Linked DNA regions of Drosophila melanogaster. Changing the gene in region 1 together with any one later gene gives a genetic interaction. Each region holds a gene or a part of one and is shown in the gene's direction. Other genes may lie near its edges.

Evidence for each region. Genes that interact genetically often act in the same process or in processes that back each other up.
Region 2: of Dd (region 1) and put, changing one suppresses a phenotype caused by changing the other (phenotypic suppression), as found in Drosophila melanogaster (one study listed by BioGRID).
Region 3: of Dd (region 1) and Lpin, changing one suppresses a phenotype caused by changing the other (phenotypic suppression), as found in Drosophila melanogaster (one study listed by BioGRID).

Annotation. Positions count from the first base shown.
Region 1 is NC_004354.4:21,318,836-21,326,609, reverse strand, and holds Dd (dullard), read left to right. Parts: upstream 1-2,600; 5' UTR 2,601-3,380; coding exon 3,381-3,479; intron 3,480-4,447; coding exon 4,448-4,705; intron 4,706-4,790; coding exon 4,791-4,973; intron 4,974-5,096; coding exon 5,097-5,288; 3' UTR 5,289-6,819; downstream 6,820-7,774. Other genes in the region: CG1486 (uncharacterized protein), read right to left, coding at 1-382, 440-721, 788-1,900, 2,039-2,149; SLIRP1 (SRA stem-loop interacting RNA binding protein 1), read left to right, coding at 7,483-7,755. UniProt on the Drosophila melanogaster protein: Serine/threonine protein phosphatase that may dephosphorylate and activate lipin-like phosphatases.
Region 2 is NT_033777.3:14,619,103-14,628,110, reverse strand, and holds the start of put (punt), read left to right. Parts: upstream 1-2,407; 5' UTR 2,408-2,865; coding exon 2,866-2,911; intron 2,912-4,438; coding exon 4,439-4,624; intron 4,625-4,691; coding exon 4,692-4,868; intron 4,869-5,807; coding exon 5,808-5,953; intron 5,954-6,021; coding exon 6,022-6,837; intron 6,838-6,897; coding exon 6,898-7,077; coding exon of another isoform or gene 7,078-7,089; 3' UTR 7,090-9,008. Other genes in the region: CG7886 (uncharacterized protein), read left to right, coding at 1-345, 424-1,101; His4r (histone H4 replacement), read right to left, coding at 1,686-1,817, 1,882-2,061.
Region 3 is NT_033778.4:8,153,054-8,158,963, reverse strand, and holds the start of Lpin (lipin), read left to right. Parts: upstream 1-2,309; 5' UTR 2,310-2,909; intron 2,910-5,910.

The DNA of each region.
Region 1 (7,774 bases):
GACCATCGGTGCCTTCGCCTAATGAAAAGGCATTGTCCGTGGATTTCAGGGCCTCCACCAGGTCGATGTTCAGCTTGTTTAGCTCTGTTTTGGCCTGGTCCGTCAGCAGGGACTCCCAGCCCTCGGGCACGAAGCGAACACCGCCCATGCCCGCCCATTCGGGCAGTGGAACGAGGCGCAGCACGTCGCTGCACTCCACCAGATGAATGAACCGTGCCTTGTGCTTGATGGTCGCGCGCAGGATGTCCACATGTGCCTCTAAGCTCTGAGCGAAGCTCTCCAGGTTCTCGGAGCTTGGCGGCTGCTCACCCAACCCCAATTCCAGCGGACAGTAGCGAATGCAGCTGCCGTGCGTCGGGTGTTCAATTACCTCAAAGTCAAACTGGAAGAACATGGTGATTAGGCTCATACAAGGAGATGATTAATTCACACTGCATACATTGGGACAGTCGCGTTGCAAGATTTGACCCAGCCAGGAGTTGAGCCGGTCGAAGTAGGAAGCATTGTTAATCTTCTCTAGCGGCTTGAGGCCTTCGGCCGTTTCCCGCTCAGCAGCGGCAGCGGCGGCGGAAGAGCCACTCCCGCCCAGTGGAATGGTGGTGCTGCCGTCGAACTGATAGGCGACCACGGGGGCGGCGGCATCAAAAAGCGCCTGCACATCAAAGGGGCTCTGAATGACGTCCGACAAAGAGGCTCCGGTCTGCGCTCCTGGAGTATGGCTCTGAAAATGCCAAGGTCCTTTGGTAAACTAAAAACATTATCCATAAACGTGTGTGCAATAATTTACCAACACCCGGATGCCCTCACACTTGGAGGCAATCTCGAAGAGAATACTGCACGTCTGGAAGGCCACATGCAGACGCTCCGCAATCGCCTTCCGGCCCAGCGCCTGCAAACTGGTCCACAAGGACAGGGCATTAAGACGACGCGACAGTATGGGATCGGATTCGAAGGCACTCAGAGCGCTGTTCTGCAGCGGACGGTGCAGCAGGACGATGGGCAGACTGGGCACACCCAGCCAGCTGCCCAAATTCAGGGCCATCGAGTGGAGTACCTCCTCCACATGGCCCTGATTTTGGGCGCACACCAAGGCGGCCAGTCCGTGGCCACTGGCGTGCAGCCACATGTTGTGCGCCTTGCATACGTCCCTCAGCCGGAGCAGGTTGTCCACATAGCCACACAACGAGGCTCCAATGTCGGCGACCACCAGCAGCGGAGTCCTGTTATTGCCCACATCCTGCTGAATTTGCTTTTGCAGCAGCGTCACATCCATTGTCCCGGACTGACTGTGCTCCGGAATGACCTTAATAGCCTCCAGCGGTATGCCCAACTGGCGGCATGCGTAGTGCAGCCTCATCGGCGTCGTATTCTCCGAGATGTAAAACGTAGGCTGCGCCAGGGCGGGTATGCCACCCTCCAAGTACCCCGGACACCTGGCGACGATGGCCAGTCGCACCGTACGCAGCACCGCGTCTGCATTGTCCGCATGGAAGCTGCTCGCCGGGTGGGCAAAGTGAAACAGCGTGCCCAACCAGCGGGTGGCGTCCCCGGAAATGCTGTTCGTCACCCGGAGCAGTTGCTGACGGTCCAGATGCGACAAATAGGCCACAATGCTGTGCGATATGAGAGCCAAGTGGGAGACGTCATCCAGGGCGGGCAGCGGGAACTCCGGATCATCGTCGCTGTCCGTGTAAGAAACCAATTGCTCCAGCGACTTAAGAATGTCGGAGGGCACGCGATGCTTCGCTGGCAGGAGGTCCTCGCTGGTCACCCGCTCCCCAGCCTCTTCCTCGTTCTCGACGGGATTTGGGCTCTCCGGCGTGGTCGACACCTTAACGTTCTCTAAGCGCTGCAGCACCTGCGAAGATCGCAGCTCCAGCTCCGCCAGGCCCGATCGAATCTATGTGGCGAATACATGGCTAATTAGGTGGGATAGTGGACAAGGTAAACAACAGCGCTCCAGAAGTTGACGTGTCTTCCGTCGTCGTCAGCAAAAAAAAAAAAGATAGAAGCAGGGCGAAAAAAACCAAACACTCACACTGGAAGCGGCGATTTCGGCCACCGCTGGCGTTGATTGGCCCGGATCCGGCTCTTGGTCTACGAGTGGGCTCTGGCCGGGATCGTCCACCGATCTACCAGCCGCTGACATGGTTTCAGTGCGGTCTAAATCACTTTTAACTTATCGCCTGCGATGCAAAATAATTGTTTTCGTTTCGTGCCACTGCGTCTGTGTGGGTGGGTGTGTGTGCGTGTGTGTGTGGGGCGGGCGAGTGTGTGTGTGTGTTGATGGAAGAGAGGCTGATGTGGAATGGTGTGACCGTAGTGGGTGCGTCTGACTAAGATCGCAAATAGTGTGCGATTGTTGGCCCATGGTTCTGGTGATGGAATAGGTCGCAAGGAAGTTGGAAAACTATTATAATATCCGCCACTAAAAGACGTTGGACAGCAGCACACAAACGTACATACATAGCACCTACTCGTAACCTTAAACGACGAGTTTTCACAGTGGTTTGTGTCACGGTTTGTGTCTCAGCGATTTTGAAGACAGCACCGCACGGTCATACTACACAGCCATCGATAGTTGCGGAAAACTCATCGATGCTGCGAAAGTGCGATAGTATCGAATAAACATGAGTGTGTGCATGAGTGTGGGAATTTATTAAACAAAAACGAAACGCGGACAAACTATATTTATGTAATAAACACTAAGCCGCAGCGCCAACGAGTAATGAACAGTCCACGGCCAGGTCGTACTATTCAGGCGAACGCACCTCGCAATCGACTGCAATCAAAGTGCAATAGCTCAATCAATTGATTCGTTTTGCTCAACCAAAAACAAAATCTATTCCCAAATCGGTGCGATAGTTGCCAAAATATAAAAACTACACTACGCTAAAAAAAAAACAATACACTCACACACTGGCGTACAAGACAACAAAAGAGAAGAAGAAGAGCAGACGCCAGATATAAAAAGCCCCCAAAAGAATTGGAAATAAGACCATACCCCTCCTTCTCCCTTGAAAAGGGACCTTAAAACTAGGCGACACCGAATAATTGAACTCAAGTAAAAAACCGGGAAAAGAGAAAAACACTTTCAACAAAATATCTAGAAGCCTTGTTATCGATTTTGTTCCGGGTTTTTTTTGTGTGAGTGTGTGTTGTGTGAAGCGCGCCCGCGGGTGTGTGGGTGAGTGTGCGTGTGGCTCTCGGCGCGTTATCAAAAACAACAACAATTCGTTGCAAAAGAAAAAATAAAGTAGAGGAGGCGGAAGAAGAAGAGGAATCTGCTCGCACCGCGGTCAATCGCGGATCGTGGTCGATTTATCGAATTAATCGCCCCGAACAAAAAAAACACCGTACAAGGACTTGCACTATTTCCAATGATTTCGCTGCTGCAAATGAAATTCCGTGCGCTTTTGTTGTTGCTATCAAAAGTATGGACATGCATTTGTTTCATGTTCAATCGCCAAGTGCGAGCTGTAAGTACTGAAATTACCCGAAAGCAGGAGTAAATCACAAAACAAAAATAGTCCTATTTTTACCCGCCCGAAACGCCGAAATTATTCCCAACCCGCTCCCGCTATCGAAACTTAAGTACTACTGCTACAGAATAATAATAATAAAAGCGGCCGCACTGATAAGATTTTCAATGATACAGGTAGTACTCGCTAGAGAGTATGGATGTGTTTGCCTCGGAAATTTATTTGAAGATTTGCATGAATAGAAACGTTGAACTTAAAATTAATTCATATATTTTAGATCTTTGTATCTGCAAATCTCTCATATCAATAATATGGTTTCATTTATATTTTCAAATTATATTTACGTTACTTCAATGTGCGATCTATTAAATTTAGAGTAACTTTCAATATATACGAATACGAGATATTTATTCCTAAATATTTGCAAAATTTTAAATTTTCGTAAAGTTACATATATTTTTGCTGGGTACCGCTTAGCCAGTGACACCTGTCTTAAAGTAAGCCTCTATCAAGATTTTCCGCCACACGTTTAATGGTTCGTGTTCCACCGAATCCCCACCCGTCCCAGAAGTGCTGTCCACGGTTCTCCCATCCGCCTTATCGACCACCCGCCTTCAATACTCTCTCAGTACTGGGCCGGCGATTTTGGCCAGATATCGTGACGCGGCAGAGGCACTGACCTTCGACCTGCTTATATACATAGATATCGATGAATCCACATCAACATTATATGCTATTGCACAGCTAATAATTGTTAATTGTTTTGTAAAAGCATAATATATCAGTAAATTGGGGTTTCCCATGCACTAGTGATAACTTGGCCATTGAGCACCTCTAACATCTCCTTGCACCGCAACCCAACCCCAACAGAGTGTAGCGACGCATAGCCACCAAGCCCATCATATGAACCCCATGTCGAATGCCTTTCAAGTACTGCTCCGTTGATTATGTATTAACTTTCTCAGTTTATCCAGTATCAACCGGTTAAATACGAACTCTTCCCGTTGTCACCCGTCTCGCGGCACCGCCTGAGCCTGGTGCAGCGCAAGACCCTCGTTCTGGACCTGGACGAAACGCTAATCCACTCCCATCACAATGCGATGCCCCGGAATACGGTGAAGCCGGGCACGCCGCACGATTTCACTGTCAAAGTGACCATCGATCGGAATCCAGTGCGCTTTTTCGTGCACAAGCGACCGCATGTGGACTACTTCCTGGACGTGGTAAGTTCCCGAATTGATTGGCCAAGCAAATAGATGCATTCCCGCATTTAAGTCAACACATTAACTTACGCCCTACTGCCCGCAGGTCTCGCAGTGGTACGATCTGGTGGTCTTCACGGCCAGCATGGAGATTTACGGAGCGGCGGTGGCAGACAAGCTGGACAACGGACGAAACATCCTCCGGAGGCGATACTACAGACAGCACTGCACGCCCGACTACGGATCCTACACCAAAGACCTGTCGGCCATCTGCAGTGACCTAAATAGGGTAAGCGGGAACAAGTGACTCCATGCGAGCCATCAGTTGCAAATCGATAAAGTAGAGGGTGCTGCATAAGATCGTACTTTATATACGAGTATTTTGTTCTAAATTGAGCATCGTTCCTTGCAGATATTTATCATCGACAATTCGCCCGGCGCCTATCGCTGTTTTCCCAACAACGCCATACCCATCAAGAGTTGGTTCTCGGACCCGATGGACACGGCGCTGCTGTCGCTGCTGCCCATGCTGGATGCGCTGAGGTTCACGAACGACGTGAGATCGGTGCTGTCGAGGAACTTGCACCTGCACCGCCTCTGGTAGCAGGTGGGCCGCCTGTCGCTAGTTTAGTTTATCTATTTAGAAGGAGCACTGAGGGCCAGCGAAGTGGGGAGAATATCTTCTGAAATTAACAACAAACAAGGTGGTGCTGTGACACATTAACGAATTTGTTCATTATTATTTAAAATTTGTACCATTCAGTCAAATGAGCGGAGATAAGATGAGACAAACAGATAAAGCAGAAAGTTGAGGATATATTGGGAGATTTGGAAGCGATGGTTTATTTCTCCTTTTGTGTATAGACTAACAGTTTTTTTTTAACAATCTAATTATGCATACATACTTGTCCATATATGTAGAGACCAGCTATTTTTATTAGACATTTTTTTCGCTTGTTTTTTTGGGTGTATATTTTGATTATAATATCAAATAAAAACTCTTGAACACAGACAGTATATAGTATAAAGTATATATATACAGTATACAGTATATATATGAATGTAAAGCTGAGCAGAAGGCGAAGCCACAACATAAAGAACAAATTTGTCAAGTTATATATCATATTATTGTAATTTAAATCTAAGGCCACTTACAACAACAGTCTTGTAATTTCTATACCATGATAACAATTAACTATTATGACACTGGAGTTGTTTTTGTGCAGATACGAACTAACAAGACGAAGCAAAATACTTATAGTTATACAAATTAGTTAATTACGAAACTTAACTTGGACATCATTATTATGGATAATTATTAAATATGTAACCGATTCTGTATAGACTTACGTACGTTCTGCCCTTGTTTCCTGTACAAAACTAAACGGATGAAAGATCTTCAAGAGTTTCATTGCTTGCAAACCAAACATAACACTTTTCTATGGATAAGATTTTTGGGGAAGTTATATATTTACGACTAAGCAACAACCCACAACTATAAACTACTATTAAAGTAAACAACAACCGAGGAGCAAGCAAGTAAGGCAAAATTTATATTTTGTAAGGCGAGCCAAGTAGCGAAAAGAATTAAAAATCAAATTAATTCTGATAGGATCGGATCAGATCAGGTTAATGAGCCGCAGACTGGGACAGATATATATAGGGAGTTTAGAGAGCCAAATCACTAATTATACGAGAACCGAGTTAGTCTGAGAATTGAGAAATCGTGGCACATCATCCGAAGCATCACAGGATATTCAGGATATTCCGGGCAGCAGCAGAGGAATTAGGCGAGAGACAAAAAGAAACACGTGAAAACGGCTTCCATAGTTAATGTTATTTCCAAAAGCATAAATACACCACTCTAAACTAAACAACAAAAGCTTGCACACGCCCTTACCCCTAACCCCACCCTTATCCACTTGTTCTTTTGATCGTATTGTACATTTATAACAATCAATATTTGTTTATTTATTGCAAGGAAATCGAGAAAGATACGTGTATGCGATGTTGTTAATTTTAAGTAGTTGATAGCAAATTTGTTAAACTGAAGAGTAATGAAATAAATAAGAAAGGGAAAGGGAAGGGAAAATCAGAAAAAGAATTACAAAAATAAAACAAAATCATGCAAAATCAAAAATAAAAAATGTGTTTTCTTTGATCTGCCGTTTGAATTTGGCGCTCCCTTTCCGTTCTACAGAACTTCGTCGCTTAACAGATTGCTAGTAAGAACCTGTTAGTGCGAATATGTGCTGTTAAGCGCACAAATAATGAATGAAAGCAGCTTATGCTTACTAGACATCAGCGATTTGATACTCTATTTGGATGAATATTATGACATTAAGAAAAATGATTAGCACGATAAAGATTTAAATTAAATCGATTCTGAGAGATTAATCTATTGAAACCAATAGTTTTAATTTATAGACATACAAAATAATTATTCTATTTGCATGAACTACTATTTTAGGAGTAATGTAGCTTAGAAGTCATTACATTGGCTTTCAAACCAATTGATTACATTTAACTAATTATCTGTACGCTCCTCTGCAGTATTGATTACATATATGAACAAATGTACTCCGACATGTAGGGTAATAGCACTGCGCTGTTAGCTGCCTCTTTGAGGTTATGTCTCTCTGTCGACAAAAACAGCAAGTTGACGTGAAACAGAAACGCAGCAGTATTTACGCAACGCAACTGGTAAGGAGTCGCCGGGAATCCAGATCGCCTTGGCTGGAAGAAGCAGAAAACCATATTTAATTCGAATTCACACCTCATTTAGCAAAACCGAGTCCATGGCCACCGCCGCAGCTGTAGCAAAAGTCGGAAAATCAGTGCACCGCATTTTCGTGGGCAATCTACCGTGGACAGTGGGCCACCAGGAGTTGCGTGGCTACTTCCGCGAGTTCGGACGCGTGGTGTCCGCCAACGTGATCTTCGACAAGCGAACGGGGTGCTCGAAGGGCTACGGTTTCGTTAGCTTCAACAGTTTGACCGCGCTGGAGAAGATCGAGAACGAGCAGAAGCACATACTGGAGGGCAACTACCTAAACATACAGAAATCTTAGATTCCCCACTTTAATTGTC
Region 2 (9,008 bases), on another chromosome or scaffold:
GAGCAGCAGCTGCAACGTCAACAACCCCCACCAATGGAGGTCAAGCATCTTTCCTTGGAGCAGCAAATCCGAAATCTGCGCGACGTGCAGAAAAAGGTGGACTTGGACGTGGAGGAAGAGGAGGAGGAGGAGGAGGAGGAACAGCAGGCGGAGGAAAGTCAATCCGAGTCGGAGCCGCAGAACGAGGAGCAACAGCATTACGAACAGCAAATGCAGGTCCAACGCAAACATCTCCAGGTGCGCAAGGTTCGCAGTGAGATTAAGTATGTGGAAAACAATCCCAAGGAGGCAGCCAAAAAGAATCGCGAGTCCAAGTCGGACCATGAGTTTGCCAACGAGAGAGATGTGAGTAGTATCCACAATATAAATTAACCAGTACTAGCAATTTATTCTCCTGTACGATAACCCATCTTATCCCCACAGTTCAAGCTTAATCCCTCTGTTCAATTCGAGACGGACATTGGCGACAATGTGATGGTCAATCCTGGCCACCGATACGAGGGCGGCGGGGGCGATACGGCCTATGTCTACAACTATGAGCATGAGCAGCAGCAGCAGCCAGTCAAGCGGGGCTACGAGCACGGCTATGTGGTGGGCGTGGGTGACGGATCCCACAGGAGGCAGAGGCAATCTCAACTGGTCGAGGCTTTGGTGCAAAAACGTGTCCCAGGCGCCAGCGATGGACATGTGGCGCAGTTCGTTAGCAATCTGGAACGACAAGCGAATGCTGGTAAAACGGGGAAAAAGCGCCTTAAACCTCGGCCTGAGGACGATCTTCAGGTACCAGTCGGCGACATGCACATGGAGTCGTCGTATATGTCCCGCTCCGAAGAACTCTCCTCAACGGACGTTACGCTGGAGAACTCAGACTACGAGACGGAGGCGACGGACTCCACGTTACTTAGTAGCTCGAAATACTCCTCCATGCATGTCTTTGTGCGGCGCAAGCAATCGGAGTCCATGTCACTCACAGAAGAGGCCGGCGACGGAGATGCCGGCGGTGGTGGAGGCTCTGGCGATTTCGGCGACCAAAATGTCATATCCCCGGCCAATGTCTACATGTCCCTGCAGCTCCAGAAGCAGCGGGAGCAGAGCGCCTAGGGGTCGTGACTTTAGGTTCCTCCATTCAAAATCCCCGCAGCCATTCGCAGCCGGAGCAGCGACACCACAGCTGGCTGATACGCCGAGCAGTAACAACAACAACACCACTACCACCACCATCACACCCACAACAAAGCAGCCAACTCGATTCGATAGGATCCCCACTGGGAGAGCTAAATTTGCAGTCATACTCCCGGGCAGTAGCAGTAGAAAAGGGAACCTGCTCCTTTTTGCACGTCCTGCCATCTGCGAATTCAAGCTGCACCAAAAATGTACAAAAATATACTTTGGTCTTACTAATTTCCATTAAAGATTTATTATTTGTGTGCTCCCTAAGCGAGTTTGTTGGACCTTATTTTCGGATGATTAACCGCCCCAAGTCAAAATGCACATATGCATGATATTGAGTTCTCTATGTGATATCTTTTGATTTATTTAGTCCGTATATTGTGAAATTATAAAATATTTGCGTTCGGTTAAGTTTGCGTTGAATACTACTGATTAAGATTCAATTGGATCAAGTATTTTGAATGTAGTTAAGTTAACTCCATGGTTATTTATTATGTGGAGGTTAGAGGGCGTGCTTAACCGCCAAATCCGTAAAGGGTGCGTCCCTGGCGCTTGAGGGCATAGACCACGTCCATGGCGGTCACGGTCTTGCGCTTGGCGTGCTCGGTGTAGGTGACAGCGTCACGGATAACGTTCTCAAGGAATACCTGTGAATTTTCCGAGAAATTAATCAGTTTTTCACCACTTTCCCTTCGTTTCGCCAGAACGTACCTTTAGCACACCGCGAGTTTCCTCGTAAATCAAGCCAGAGATACGCTTAACACCGCCGCGACGAGCCAAACGGCGAATAGCAGGCTTGGTGATACCCTGGATGTTATCACGAAGCACCTTACGATGACGCTTGGCGCCCCCCTTTCCCAATCCTTTGCCTCCCTTTCCACGACCAGTCATTTCTCAGTTGCTTCGTAAAGTTGGCTGAAAAGAAGAGAAGACGCAATAAACTGTAAAGCGACGCCATGTTTGGTGAAAGGTAAACGTTCATTTGACAGGTGAAAACTGTTGTTAATAAGTCTGTTTTCATACAAAATAATGGTCTCCAATTATTTTTTTTATGTTTATGCACAAAAAAACTTTGTTGACCGATTCTTCTATTATTTACTTAAATTTCTCAGCAACAAAACTCACTTCAAGAAATCTCCAGAAAATTGCTTGTGAGCGTGACCAGATCTCGCACACCTCAAAATACCTTTCGCAAAATGCGCGTATCTAGTATTTCTATTGTCTCACTACCAGCCCTGGTCAGTTATCGCCTATCGGCCATCGCTATCGCCGCCCCGTTGCGACAAAAAAGATTTAATCGAACCGAAAGACGTGCTCGCACTAAAATCGCTTGAAAACAGGCCCGCAGACCTGCGAAAAACGAAAAAGTGCAGCGCGCATATACTTTTTCAACTGTGCCCCTCTAGCTTAAAATTAAGTCGCGGCGAAAAGTCGAGTAAAACCCGCGGAAATGCGCATGCAAACGGCGTGTGGCCAGCAAAATCGCTGCCAAGGCACCGCACACACACTCGGCCACCCACACATACACACTTAGTGCTGTACTCGAAAAGTGCGAAGACAACAGGAACTCTGTGCCAAAATAATATTAACAGTACCCAGTTATTCCATTCCACTGCACCTGTCCCCGAAACATCGAAATATTCGCGTTACGTATACGCAACGAGTGCTGTAAACAAGTTTGCACAGGCGATAACAATGTCCAAATACGATCTGCTTTATCTAACGGCGCAGCTAACGCTGGGTATGTATTGCACTGCGAGTGTGTGGGTGCATACTTATTGGCGCCTTAATTCCCAGTCGCTTTATTATGTACATATGTACATAATATTATATTTTGTCTCTGCCTTACGATTTTCCTCTGTAATGCAAGCCGACTTCGATTTATAACCATTCGTGCGTGTGATTTTTGATGATATGGGGTGCGTAATGCTATTACTTTATTAATATCACATGGCGCTTGAAAAGTTCATATATAGGGTGTATAGGCTTTGTGATAGCTTTGTCCTATTAACCAACACATCAGAACATCTTAAATTTTCAGAAATTAGGTATAACGAATGTAAATGCTAGGAATCAAATCTATTTGTGAAGTGAATAATGTATACACTAGATACTCTATTAAAGCACCAACAATTGTACTACACAAATGTAGTAAAATATCGTAAGAATTGTTGACAGTGGGTACTACGAATTCATATGTTGAGCGCCAAACGCATACTCGGTATAAATCGATCGGATACCTAATTCCCAATCTTAATCCATGTGTGTGTGCGCTGAGCATTTCTTTGAATGGATTTTGCTGCATTAGGAACTTGTTGTATGGCAGGTTCTGGTTTCTCCCACCCTTTTGCTCCACCGGCCTCCCTCTCTTTCGCTCGCCATAGCCCTCTCTCTTTCTGTGGCGCAGTGCGCTCTCTTCCCTGTTGCTGCTGTTGTTGTTGTTGTTTCTGCTGCTGCTGTTTCCTTTTTCCGCACAAGCGCCACTTTAAACCCATCCCTTTCTGTGTGCATAATGTGCCTGCTTATGTATCTACTTTACTATAAAGCATGCACGCTTACGAACACACACATACATGGCCAGCGATCCGATTACCTAAAGGACAGTGGGACGAAAAGTGTTTCAAAGGATTGAAAACAGTTTGCTTAGCCAATGGTCAAGAAATATCAATCAATATATCGCAGGCTCGTTGCAATAAACGTTTTCAAAATTAAATTTTTTGTATTTACACATTTAAAAAGTGAATTATCATTTTAATTTTTATCAACAAAAATTTCGGTATTTGGATGAGGATCCCAGATTAAATCGAATTAAAGAATGTAAATAGATTTTCAAGAAACCTTACTGCAGGCCCACTGTGCACTGCATATCCGTGCATTGGGGCCATGCCCACTCAAAGGCTGGTGTGTGGCCAGTGGGGCTAATTCCGTGCCCAAATGGGGTGGCTTTCAATGGCAGAGGCCCCAGCTTAGGACGCTACTCCTGCTACTTCTGGGCATGCGATATGTGTACAAAGGATAGCGCCCACAAAGAGCTCGCTGAGCGCCCTCCCTTTCAGTCTTATTCCCCAAATAGGCTCGACTTTATTTGCCCACCCTTTGAGCACTTCCAACCGATAATTCCATTAACTTTGATCTTTAACTACGTTTTAACTTTTTGAAAGTCTTTACTCATGTTTTAGGACTGCTCAAATATATACTTTAAATATAGATCAGTGCTAATCTAAAACTAGAAAGATTATTAATCTATTTTCCCATTGTCTTCATTTAGTCTGCTGTCTGATTGGAATCCATGGATCTATTTTGCCCGGAAGTCATGGGATCATAGAATGCGAGCACTTCGACGAGAAGATGTGCAACACAACGCAGCAATGTGAAACACGGATAGAGCACTGTAAGATGGAGGCGGATAAGTTTCCCAGCTGCTATGTCCTTTGGTCGGTCAACGAGACAACGGGTGAGCCGTGCAGAAGTTGACGTTGTTTCAGGCATACTGATTAATTTTAATTTTTCCGTTCCCATAGGCATCCTGCGCATCAAGATGAAGGGCTGCTTCACGGACATGCACGAATGCAATCAGACGGAGTGCGTGACCAGTGCAGAGCCACGGCAGGGAAACATTCACTTCTGCTGCTGCAAGGGATCGCGGTGCAATTCCAACCAGAAATATATTAAAAGCACCACGGAGGCAACCACACAAGGTGGGTTCGGATCCGGTTTCGGATTCAGATTCGGTTTAACGTTTGCTGCTACTGGGGTTTTGTCTTTGGAGTGTTTACCCCAATTTTGTTATTTTTCCGTTTGCATATATTTTTTGTTTGTTTTTGTTATTTCGTTTTTTTTTTTTTTTTTTGTATTTTTACTGCATCTTCAAGTTGCAAAAAGAGGGCGTAGGCTTCGCCTACAAAATACCACTCCTCGCATCCGAGGCAGCGTTTTTCGTGTTAACGAACTCTTGACGCGAAGTGGCGCCCGCTCCCCCATCATTTTCTACATCCCCAGCCTCCAGCAACCCCTTTTCGGAGCCGCATGTGTTGCAATTTCTGCCCTCCTGTGCACGTTCGCTGGTTCGTTTTTATTTTTATAGTAAGGTACTTCTTTAGCGATCGGGTATAATGCGTTCGCTTTAAAGGATGCAACTGAAAGAGGTAGTTATTTGGTATAAATCCAATTTATTTCACTCCGATTATGAAGGCTTAATAGGATTAGACTCTACCTATTTTGAATGATACTTAATTGGCTTGCAGCCTTAACCCACAACGAGGAGAGTATCTGTTATCTAATACCAGGTATACAAGTGTCGAGTGACTTCATTCTAGCATCCTTTCTTGTTTTTATTTTTGGGGTGTTGCTGCTGCCTTTGACTTCGAAGCCCTGTGCTGCCAGGGCGTCTTTTGTGCCCTGCTCTTTGTTGTTTTGTTCTTGGGCCTAGCTCGCTTTTATCTCGAAACAAAATGAGGGGAAAAAGAGATGCGAAATTGGGGGCGAACTTTCGTTTTTTAGTTTTCGTTTTGCCTTTCATAGCAACCCCAGCAGCTGCAGGTGCATGCCGCCACTCGAGATGTTGTTCACCTGTGGCAAGGCAGCGTTTAAAGCCCTCTTTAATGTTCGTTCCCGTGTGTGTCCTTGTATCGTTGCAGTGCCCAAGGAGAAGACGCAGGACGGCAGCAATTTGATATACATCTACATTGGCACCTCCGTTTTCAGCGTGCTCATGGTCATTGTTGGCATGGGCCTTCTTCTCTACCGACGCCGCAAGCAGGCGCACTTTAACGAGATACCCACGGTACGTACATATCCTTGTGATGTTGCCGCAAATATATAATTTTAATTATGCAAAATTAAACCCTTTAGCACGAGGCTGAGATAACAAACTCATCGCCATTGCTCAGCAACCGTCCCATTCAGCTGCTGGAACAGAAGGCCAGTGGTAGATTCGGTGATGTGTGGCAAGCCAAGCTCAACAATCAGGATGTGGCCGTCAAGATCTTTCGCATGCAGGAAAAAGAATCGTGGACCACGGAGCACGATATCTACAAGCTGCCGCGCATGCGCCATCCGAACATCCTCGAATTCCTGGGCGTTGAGAAGCACATGGACAAGCCGGAATATTGGCTGATATCCACCTACCAGCATAACGGATCACTATGCGACTACCTCAAATCGCACACGATCTCATGGCCAGAGTTGTGCCGCATCGCTGAGTCCATGGCCAATGGACTGGCACATCTGCACGAGGAGATCCCGGCATCAAAGACCGATGGGCTAAAACCATCGATAGCTCACCGAGACTTCAAGTCTAAGAACGTACTGCTTAAGAGCGATCTGACGGCCTGTATAGCTGACTTTGGTTTGGCCATGATATTCCAGCCAGGCAAGCCCTGCGGCGATACACACGGTCAAGTAGGCACTCGACGTTACATGGCCCCAGAGGTGCTTGAGGGTGCCATCAATTTCAATAGAGACGCTTTCTTACGCATAGACGTCTACGCATGCGGCCTAGTCCTCTGGGAAATGGTGTCACGGTGTGACTTTGCCGGACCCGTCGGTGAGTTCCAGCTGCCTTTTGAGGCCGAGCTGGGCCTGAGGCCGTCGCTGGACGAAGTTCAGGAGAGTGTGGTAATGAAGAAGCTGCGCCCTCGTTTGCTCAACTCCTGGCGCGCCCATCCGGTGAGTGTGACTTCTGATAATGCTTTTAGTCAATGAAAATAACTTGTAACTTTTTTACAGGGACTTAATGTATTCTGCGACACAATGGAGGAGTGCTGGGATCACGACGCTGAGGCTCGTCTTAGCTCTTCGTGTGTGATGGAACGCTTTGCGCAGCTAAACAAGTATCCCTCAACCCAGTTGCTAATCAAGAACCACACCAACATTGACGACGCCAAGGAATCTACGAATTGCTTATAGAAGCGGTACTAAGCCACAGACCAGCCAGCGGATCTGTGGCTCTGCAAAAAAATCAGTTGAAGCTTTTTGCTTCGTAGTGGATAGTTGATCGTCGAGGTCGTAAGACGTTTCGTTTTTAGTTTAATAGTTTGTAGTACCATTATAAGCAGCTATAGAATGGGTTGATTTATACGAAAGAAGTCGTGTAAGATGTAACTTTTCCTAAGGGAAAAGCCAAAAGCTTAACATGCCAACGATTCTTTGTTATTATTTTCTTTAAATTATAAATCGACTCATTCGATGTTAACCCGAGTTCTTAAATCTGTTGGAAATGAGTGGAAACGTACACTAAGCAACTTTGAACAAAGAGCATTAGCTATGTCCAGAGACGTGGTAGTTGCTAATCCGACATTGACTTCATTGACTGATAACCATATATAGTTCTATATAAATCATACATATAACGTACAATTTGTTTTGCCCTCTGGCAGTAGCCTGTGTGCATATGTAAACTGTTGAAAATTATCGTCAAGCCTTTTAAAGTATAATTTTATTTGTACGTTATCGAATGTCTTCATATAGTAGTAGTTTTATATTTAAAGTTATTTTCAAAATAGATTTAACAATTTTAGTTTACTTTTTAGTTGTAACGTTTTTATTTCGCGCTCAAACGTGCATGCGTTTTAATGTTGTATTTTAAATAAAAATACTTTAAACTCCATCCTAACCATCTGATTTTTTATTATTTTGTCTGTTTTATATTTCTGCTTTTGATTTTTATTTTTTTATTTCCAAAACGTAGTGCCAATGACCCTCAGAAATCGCGTAAGCATAATAAATGTGTAATTATGTAATTGTATTCTAATTCTACTGGACAGTACAAGCAACACCTGAAGTTTTCAAAGGAAAGTTTCTTTTTAACAAGAATCTAACTTAAGCGCATATACATAAATTATAAAATATAAACTATACTCTTTATATATACACACAACACATACACGCATAGGCATACGGAACACACGCAGTCTAGCAGGTTTATATGAAGCACACGCTGCGACTCATCGTCAGCATAAAATCTAAACAAAAAAAAAATCAAAGTTAATATTCAACCCAAGAGGTATGCACACACTGTAAGAAATTAGAGCTAAACACAATGAGTAAGTATGTTAAACATTGTTAAACGGATAGTATGTCTTATAATGTTAGCCAAACAAGGTGTATGTCGAGCTATAGTTATTTAAGCTATAGTTTAATTAAGAGAGTCTTGGCGGAATGTATTATCTTTCGGGTTATTTGAAACTTTTTTGCGCAGCATCAGTTCTTATCAATGGCTAAGCATCTGAAATACTTCTGGATTATCAGTTAAGATATCAACTAAACACGATACACAACACAGAACAAAACGAAACAAACAAAGCTTCATTACCTGATTTTTTTGAGCAACTTACAACAAAAATAGTTTATTACGCAAACAAACAAAAACCAAACGACATAATCTTAATAATAGAACGAATTTTGTTATGCTGTATTTAATTTGTATATTTTCCATTGGTGCTGAAACATCATTACGACGAACATAATGATAATGAAGATAATAAGAAACGAATTCAAAAACAACCAGTATTTAAAGAGCGAAGGAATAAACAATTAATATTTAATCATAGTAGTTTGTTACATATCAGATTGCTAAATGGGATAGAGGAAGATAATATAAATCGATCATTTCAAAAAGATTTGCAGAGAAATTTTTATAGCATTATACAAGGCAATAACAAGCCAACAGCAATTTTGGTATATTTTTTAATGCATTTCATAAGTAAAACCAAAACGAGTTTATAAACAGTAAATTCATAAGAAAATCTTTTTAAAACACCCCATTTTCGAATATCATCAGCAAAGTTTTATAAAAACCAATATGCGAAAAACATATACGAGATGATAGCAAGTCGTGT
Region 3 (5,910 bases), on another chromosome or scaffold:
TAGTAAACTAATATATTTCCAATAATTATATTATTAAATTATATTTCATTTGTATAGTTCGCAGCAAAATGGCCTATTGCACCTTTTGACCTTTTTGCACCTTCGGGCGTAAGTTTCTATCTTGCGATTACTGAATTTCGTATTAATAAGACATCTTTGGTCGAAATGATATGCAATTTGAATGCGATTAAAGATCTATTCCTGACATGAGACCAATAATAATGCCCATTAGCTAAATGAGCACATTGATGTCTCTATACATTTGTTTTTTAGAAAACTGTGTTCTGAATGCTCACTGAGTACTTTCGTACGCTCTCAGGGTGCGCTTCGTCACTACGTGAACGGGCGTCTACATCGATTAGATGATAAGTGAGGAAGACTGGAATGCCTAGATCGACTTGGCTAGTTATCCGGCTAAAAGCAAAAAATGAAGAGTGGCCCATGAGGGGATCGAACCCGCGACCTTCGCGTTATTAGCACGACGCTCTAACCAACTGAGCTAATGGGCCTTCGTGAGAGCGGCGTTCTGGGTTATCAATTTGGATTGGGGGTGCTTCTCTAAACACTCATATCGCTACTTATTTAAAGTCCGAATAAAGTGGATGTTATCTATGTATATACTGATTACCTTTTTGTATTCCAGCCTATTGGGTTATAAACAAATAGAAATATGTGTGAATATAAAATATAAAACAATTCGATTACAATTTTCAATTTCTTGGAAAGCGTGTTGCATGTTTTTTTATTCTTATCAGCAAAAAAGAAATGTAATAAGAAAGCCTGCTGAGACCACTTATTGCAATATCAGTCTTCGGCAAGTAGTCTTCTGAATCGGACAATGGAGTGCCACTAGACCATAGGAGTGCTTCTCCTGAGCTGGTTGGTTTGTGGCCACGCCTGTTATTATCCAAAACGATGTTTGGCCAACGATGGGAGTGCACCAAACCGGCGATTGGCATCGACCGACTAATGTATTCTGTGGACCCACTTAAGTGTGTTGTGAAATAAGGGCTCAAGTAAGTGAAATAAGAGCTCAAGTAAGTGCACTACAGGTTCACAGAGTTTGTACGCAGCTTGTATCCATTCTACCCCTACTACACCAGATGGAGAATCCGTCCCTGTCCTCGTTCTTTGGAGGAGGTTCCCTGATTGCCCCTGAGGTTGTACTAACGGCAGCCCACCTGTTGTTGTCTATACCTGGAGTCTACATTTGCATTTAAAAATGACATACAGCCCATCTGCTTACCTCTTCAAGGGTCGTCCATTGAGCAGACACACTGTGTGATTTCCGGATGGGGAAAGCGTTCTTTTAACGACTCTCAAATGTCGAGTATACAAAAGCAAATCGAGTTACCCATAGTAAACAAAGGAGATTGCCAGAATATGTTGAGGAAAACCAGGTTTCAGCTTGCCACCAGTCTCATATGTGTCAGCGGACAGAAGGACAAGGATGTCTGCGTTGGTGACGGTGGGTCCATCTTGGTTTGTTCCCCTGACGCAATCTTCGCTAGATATCACCAGGTCGGGATCGTGGCCTGGGGCGTCGATTGCGGCAGGCCAAACGTTTCCTCGACCTTCAAAAATGTGTCCATGTTCAGGAAGTGGATTGATCGCAACTTTCCAAGCAACTCGGTGGAACCGCTTAGGAACTGTATTCCTATCCACCCAAGAATTTCGTCCTATAAAATGAGATACATGTTGCTTTAAATCACCAAACTTAGCTAATGTAATTACATATATTGTATCAAATATATGTATTTATGAAATTAAATTATCAAACGGAGTCGATTTTAACCACCTGCTGAACTTCAGGTTAAATTATTTTTAAATTGAAGCTTAAGTCTTGGGTATAAATATTTATCAACTAAATTGTTATTTTTTGGTCGAGGAATGTCATAATATTGGGTGCAAGAGTTTTTTCTCTTAGACTACCATTCTGCTGATTGAAAGTATAATATATATCATTAGTCAAATGCAGTATGAGATATTTACCCCAGGAAATAAGCACATTTGTTTGATTTGTTCTTGTGTTCATTTCATTTCTTCATTTTCATTACAGTGACCTTATTAAGATTTTAATTTTTTATCCGTCTACAATTAGTCTTATTGTTGCTGGTTTTATATTTTCTTAACCAAAATAGTGGAGGCTAGTCAATGCTATACAAACTTGTCACGAAAACTTAAGTTCCTTTAAATCTGGTAAGTGCACCTTAACCGCCAAAATTTCAAACTCACCGAAAATGTTAAGCCACAAGTACTCAATAGGCCGATTGTCAGCATCGATGGCGGCATCGATGTTTCCCCACCGCGAACAGAGTGGCTGGCCACACTGGCGCTCAGCTGGCGCTCAGCTGGCGCAGTTGTTGTTATTCTTGCATTTCTACAGCGCGAGGTCCGAATTTTCGAGCGCAGCGCGGCCACAATTTTCCGGGCGTTAGTTAACCGAGACGACTAGTTTAATTAGCGGAATTGTGCGACGACGTCGTGGTTGAAATTCAATTTGAACGCCCAGGCGGTAGATCGGTAAAATCGCGACATCAAAGCACGAGAGTGAGTGAAAAGAGAACCCTGGAAAGTGGTCAATGTGTGTGTATTTGGCGAGCAGTGGCGGAGCACTGAAAAAACCAGTTAGCTGGCAGTGAAAGAGATTCAATAACGTGTTGGTGGGCAAAAGAAGAACAAATTGTTTCGAGTGTGCGAGGCGACGACGACGACATCCAACTGGTCCGGTACGAAGAAGTCCGCTTTCCTCGCTCATTAGCGGCGCTTTCCTCGGGCCCACGATCTGGAAGTCTGGAAATCGGCGATACCTAAAACCGGGCCATAGCCACCACTATCATTATCAACAAATTGATATACATATGCAATTGCAGCAGCGCGTCATCAGCACAGCGCCCATCGCCTAGCAGGTGCGTTCCGTACCGTCCGTCACTTTCGACATTATATTGGTCTGATCGGGTTTCTCTCTCTCTCTGGTGCGTGGTATCTTCTATGTATATACTATAACTATGCATACTATATATGCTCCGTAACAACACACTGCATTGTCTTTCGGGAATTGTTAACACCCCGCCCCGGTGGTGGAGCATCTTTGGCATCCATTCAGTCGGTTGCCCATTCATTTGCCTAACAGACTCTTTTCTGCGCCAACCGACGAACAAGTAAAGTGAAAGGCGGCGGCACGCGTTTTCCCATCTTTTGTATTGAATTTCGCTTCGGCAGCGAGGAAAGCGAAATCGTTCTTAGTCATCAGGACGTGTGGTGAGAGGAGGAGGGTGGGCCAAATCAACATGCAACCGCCTGGCAACAGGCAATGCGTCACAAAAAAACAAGGAATTTCAATTTCCAAGCTGGGATTACTAGTTAACTAAAGCAGACTGTAGTGCAGGGGAAGGTGGTGTTACCGGGGTAGAAATTGAAGGAAATCAAAGGCGATCGATAAAATAATAATATCGATAAACAACATTTGATGAGACGAAAGAAAAGATTCGTGGTTCAAGTTGTTTTACTTTCAGCCAGGCATTTTTAAAAACTTGGATGCATTTAAAACCGGCAAGACAGGCCAAAACGCTGTTGACCCACGGACCTTATCGATTTTTGCAGCTGCTGGGCGGCTAATCATTGGTTTTGTGGCGTGACAAGTGTTTCGGCACCACACCCACTGTCTGTATGTCAGAGGAAAAAAGCGTAAGCGGAAGTGATTTCATAGACCGAAACTCACCCCGAAAACTGAAACGCTGAAAGGGGCATTTCCGTGCTTTGTGGCCATTGCCTGCCCCAAGTCGCTAGTTCATTTTCCGCTATTATGTTGAGGTTAGGACTTTCCAAATCCATGTGATTTCCCAGGGTGCCGGCTTCTGTGCGTCGTCGCAAAAATATGCTGCACTTCGGGGGTGCAAACAGCATGCTTTTCGTTTTCGTTGAAGTTTCACGGCCGAATTGATTTTTCCAGCCTAGACATTACAAAATGCCTCGCCGAAGTGGCGATAATAAAGCGCCTTTTCAGTTTTGCAGCCAGCACGCACATCGGGGCATTTATTACCGCTTTTCCGTTTTCCCTCTTACAAAACTGTGAAGTTAATGCGGCCAGCACGTGGGTCTACGCACTGAGTTTTCCGTTCCTCAGTTTTCATCTGGCCAAGCACTTCTCAGCTGGCCGCCGAAAAGAAAGGGGCAACGAAAGACGCAACCATGACCAAAGAAACTCAAAACTCCAAACTTGAGCAATTTGTAGGCAAATTAAGGTGTTAACTAACCGTGAAGTTGGTCAGTGGGAAACCCATCGAAGATGCTCTAGCTTAAAGCTCATACAGAGCAATAAACAAGTGTTTCTTTGAAGATCTTCGATCTGCTCTTATAATCTTAGATAAGAAACTAGCAAAGTTGAACTTAACTGAGGCAGATAAGTATCTCTAGGTTTAACGAGTTATGATTTCTGGCATATTTCTCGCTGTGTATTTTCGGCAGACGAGCAGCTCGGAAATTGTTTGATCGATTCGATTCCTTCGTCCGCTTCCGCTCCGCCGCTATCGGCTGTTGCCTTTTACCCGCCCATTCGCCACTTGCTAACAGTTGTTTTCGTACGTGAGCAGCGCTCGGATAGGCAGATACTCCCCGTCAGATACACAAGATAGCTTCCTCTTCTGCCTGGATGCGATGCACTGTGTCCGCTCCGCGCTCTCCGTTCTCCAGCTCACCAAGCGGAAGCAACTCCATTTATGTAAATTGCTTGCGTGACATTTCAATGCGACGGGGCGCTTTATGAAAAGCTGGAGCGGCATGGTCCGAGCGGGATGAGCGGTGGCTGGGAATAATGGGTTGAAGAATCGTGGGTCTGGTCTGGTCTGGTAGCTAGGGCTGCCACGGGCTGCTCCGTCATGCCAACAGTTGGCAATCAGTTTAACTGTGCTTTTTATGGCCGTACTTTGCGCTTTTTATGCGCACTCATTGCCGCACATGTGCAATATTACTGCACTAACGTTTTTGCAATCAGTATCAGATGTACTCGGAACTGGTGTGAATGAATCTGCATGTTTTCCATCTGCGTGATGTTTCTACTCCGCTTTAATTATCCACAGTTCCTCAGTCGTTTCATATCATTAATACATGATTGGGCACAGCGATCAATCTTTTTGCACACTAAATACTTGTCTTTGCCTACAATCAGAAGTAATAGAAAGATCGGATTTTATTGTTTATCAGATACAAAAACTGGCGCTTATGTACATATATCTACAATTATTGTTTTTTTTTGCCACTTCCAGTTTTAATTATCCCGAATTTCCGCTCCGATTTCATCACCCGTAATTTGTGAACTGATGAAAACAATACAGCCTTCGGATTAACATATTTTGGAGAAACGTTACAAAGAGATAAAATTCATATTTGAGTTTAGATTGTCGGGCGGCGTAAACTTGGCCCAAAACAAACATTGCCACGGCTTTTCGGCTATAATTCGTTTGCTTAATTTGCTTTTTCGAGCTCGCAGTTCAGCGAGGTGAAACGGTTAAATGTTTTCAAAACTGCCCCAATGTTTTCCCTTCGCCATACGTAGATACTTAGATACATATGTATATACATACTTGACGTTGCGTGTGGTGCTCATTGTTGTTTGGCTGTGCATTATGCTAACTAGACCCTAATGTCGGTGCCCGGGTGTTTTGAGTGCTCCACATTAGTAGTTTTTGTGGAATATGCCCCATAAAGGGCCATTCGATATGTTTCAGCCAGGGCTGCGAGTTCATTGCACTGGATCATCGAATCGTGGAGCAACGACTCTGGTTCGGGACCATGCCAAATGCAAAATGTCAGCAATTTATGAATAATGTAGTGAGAAACACAGGAATCGCAGAAAACGTGATCGGAAAATGCCACAAAAACAGTGCATAAATAATACCAACATATAATTGG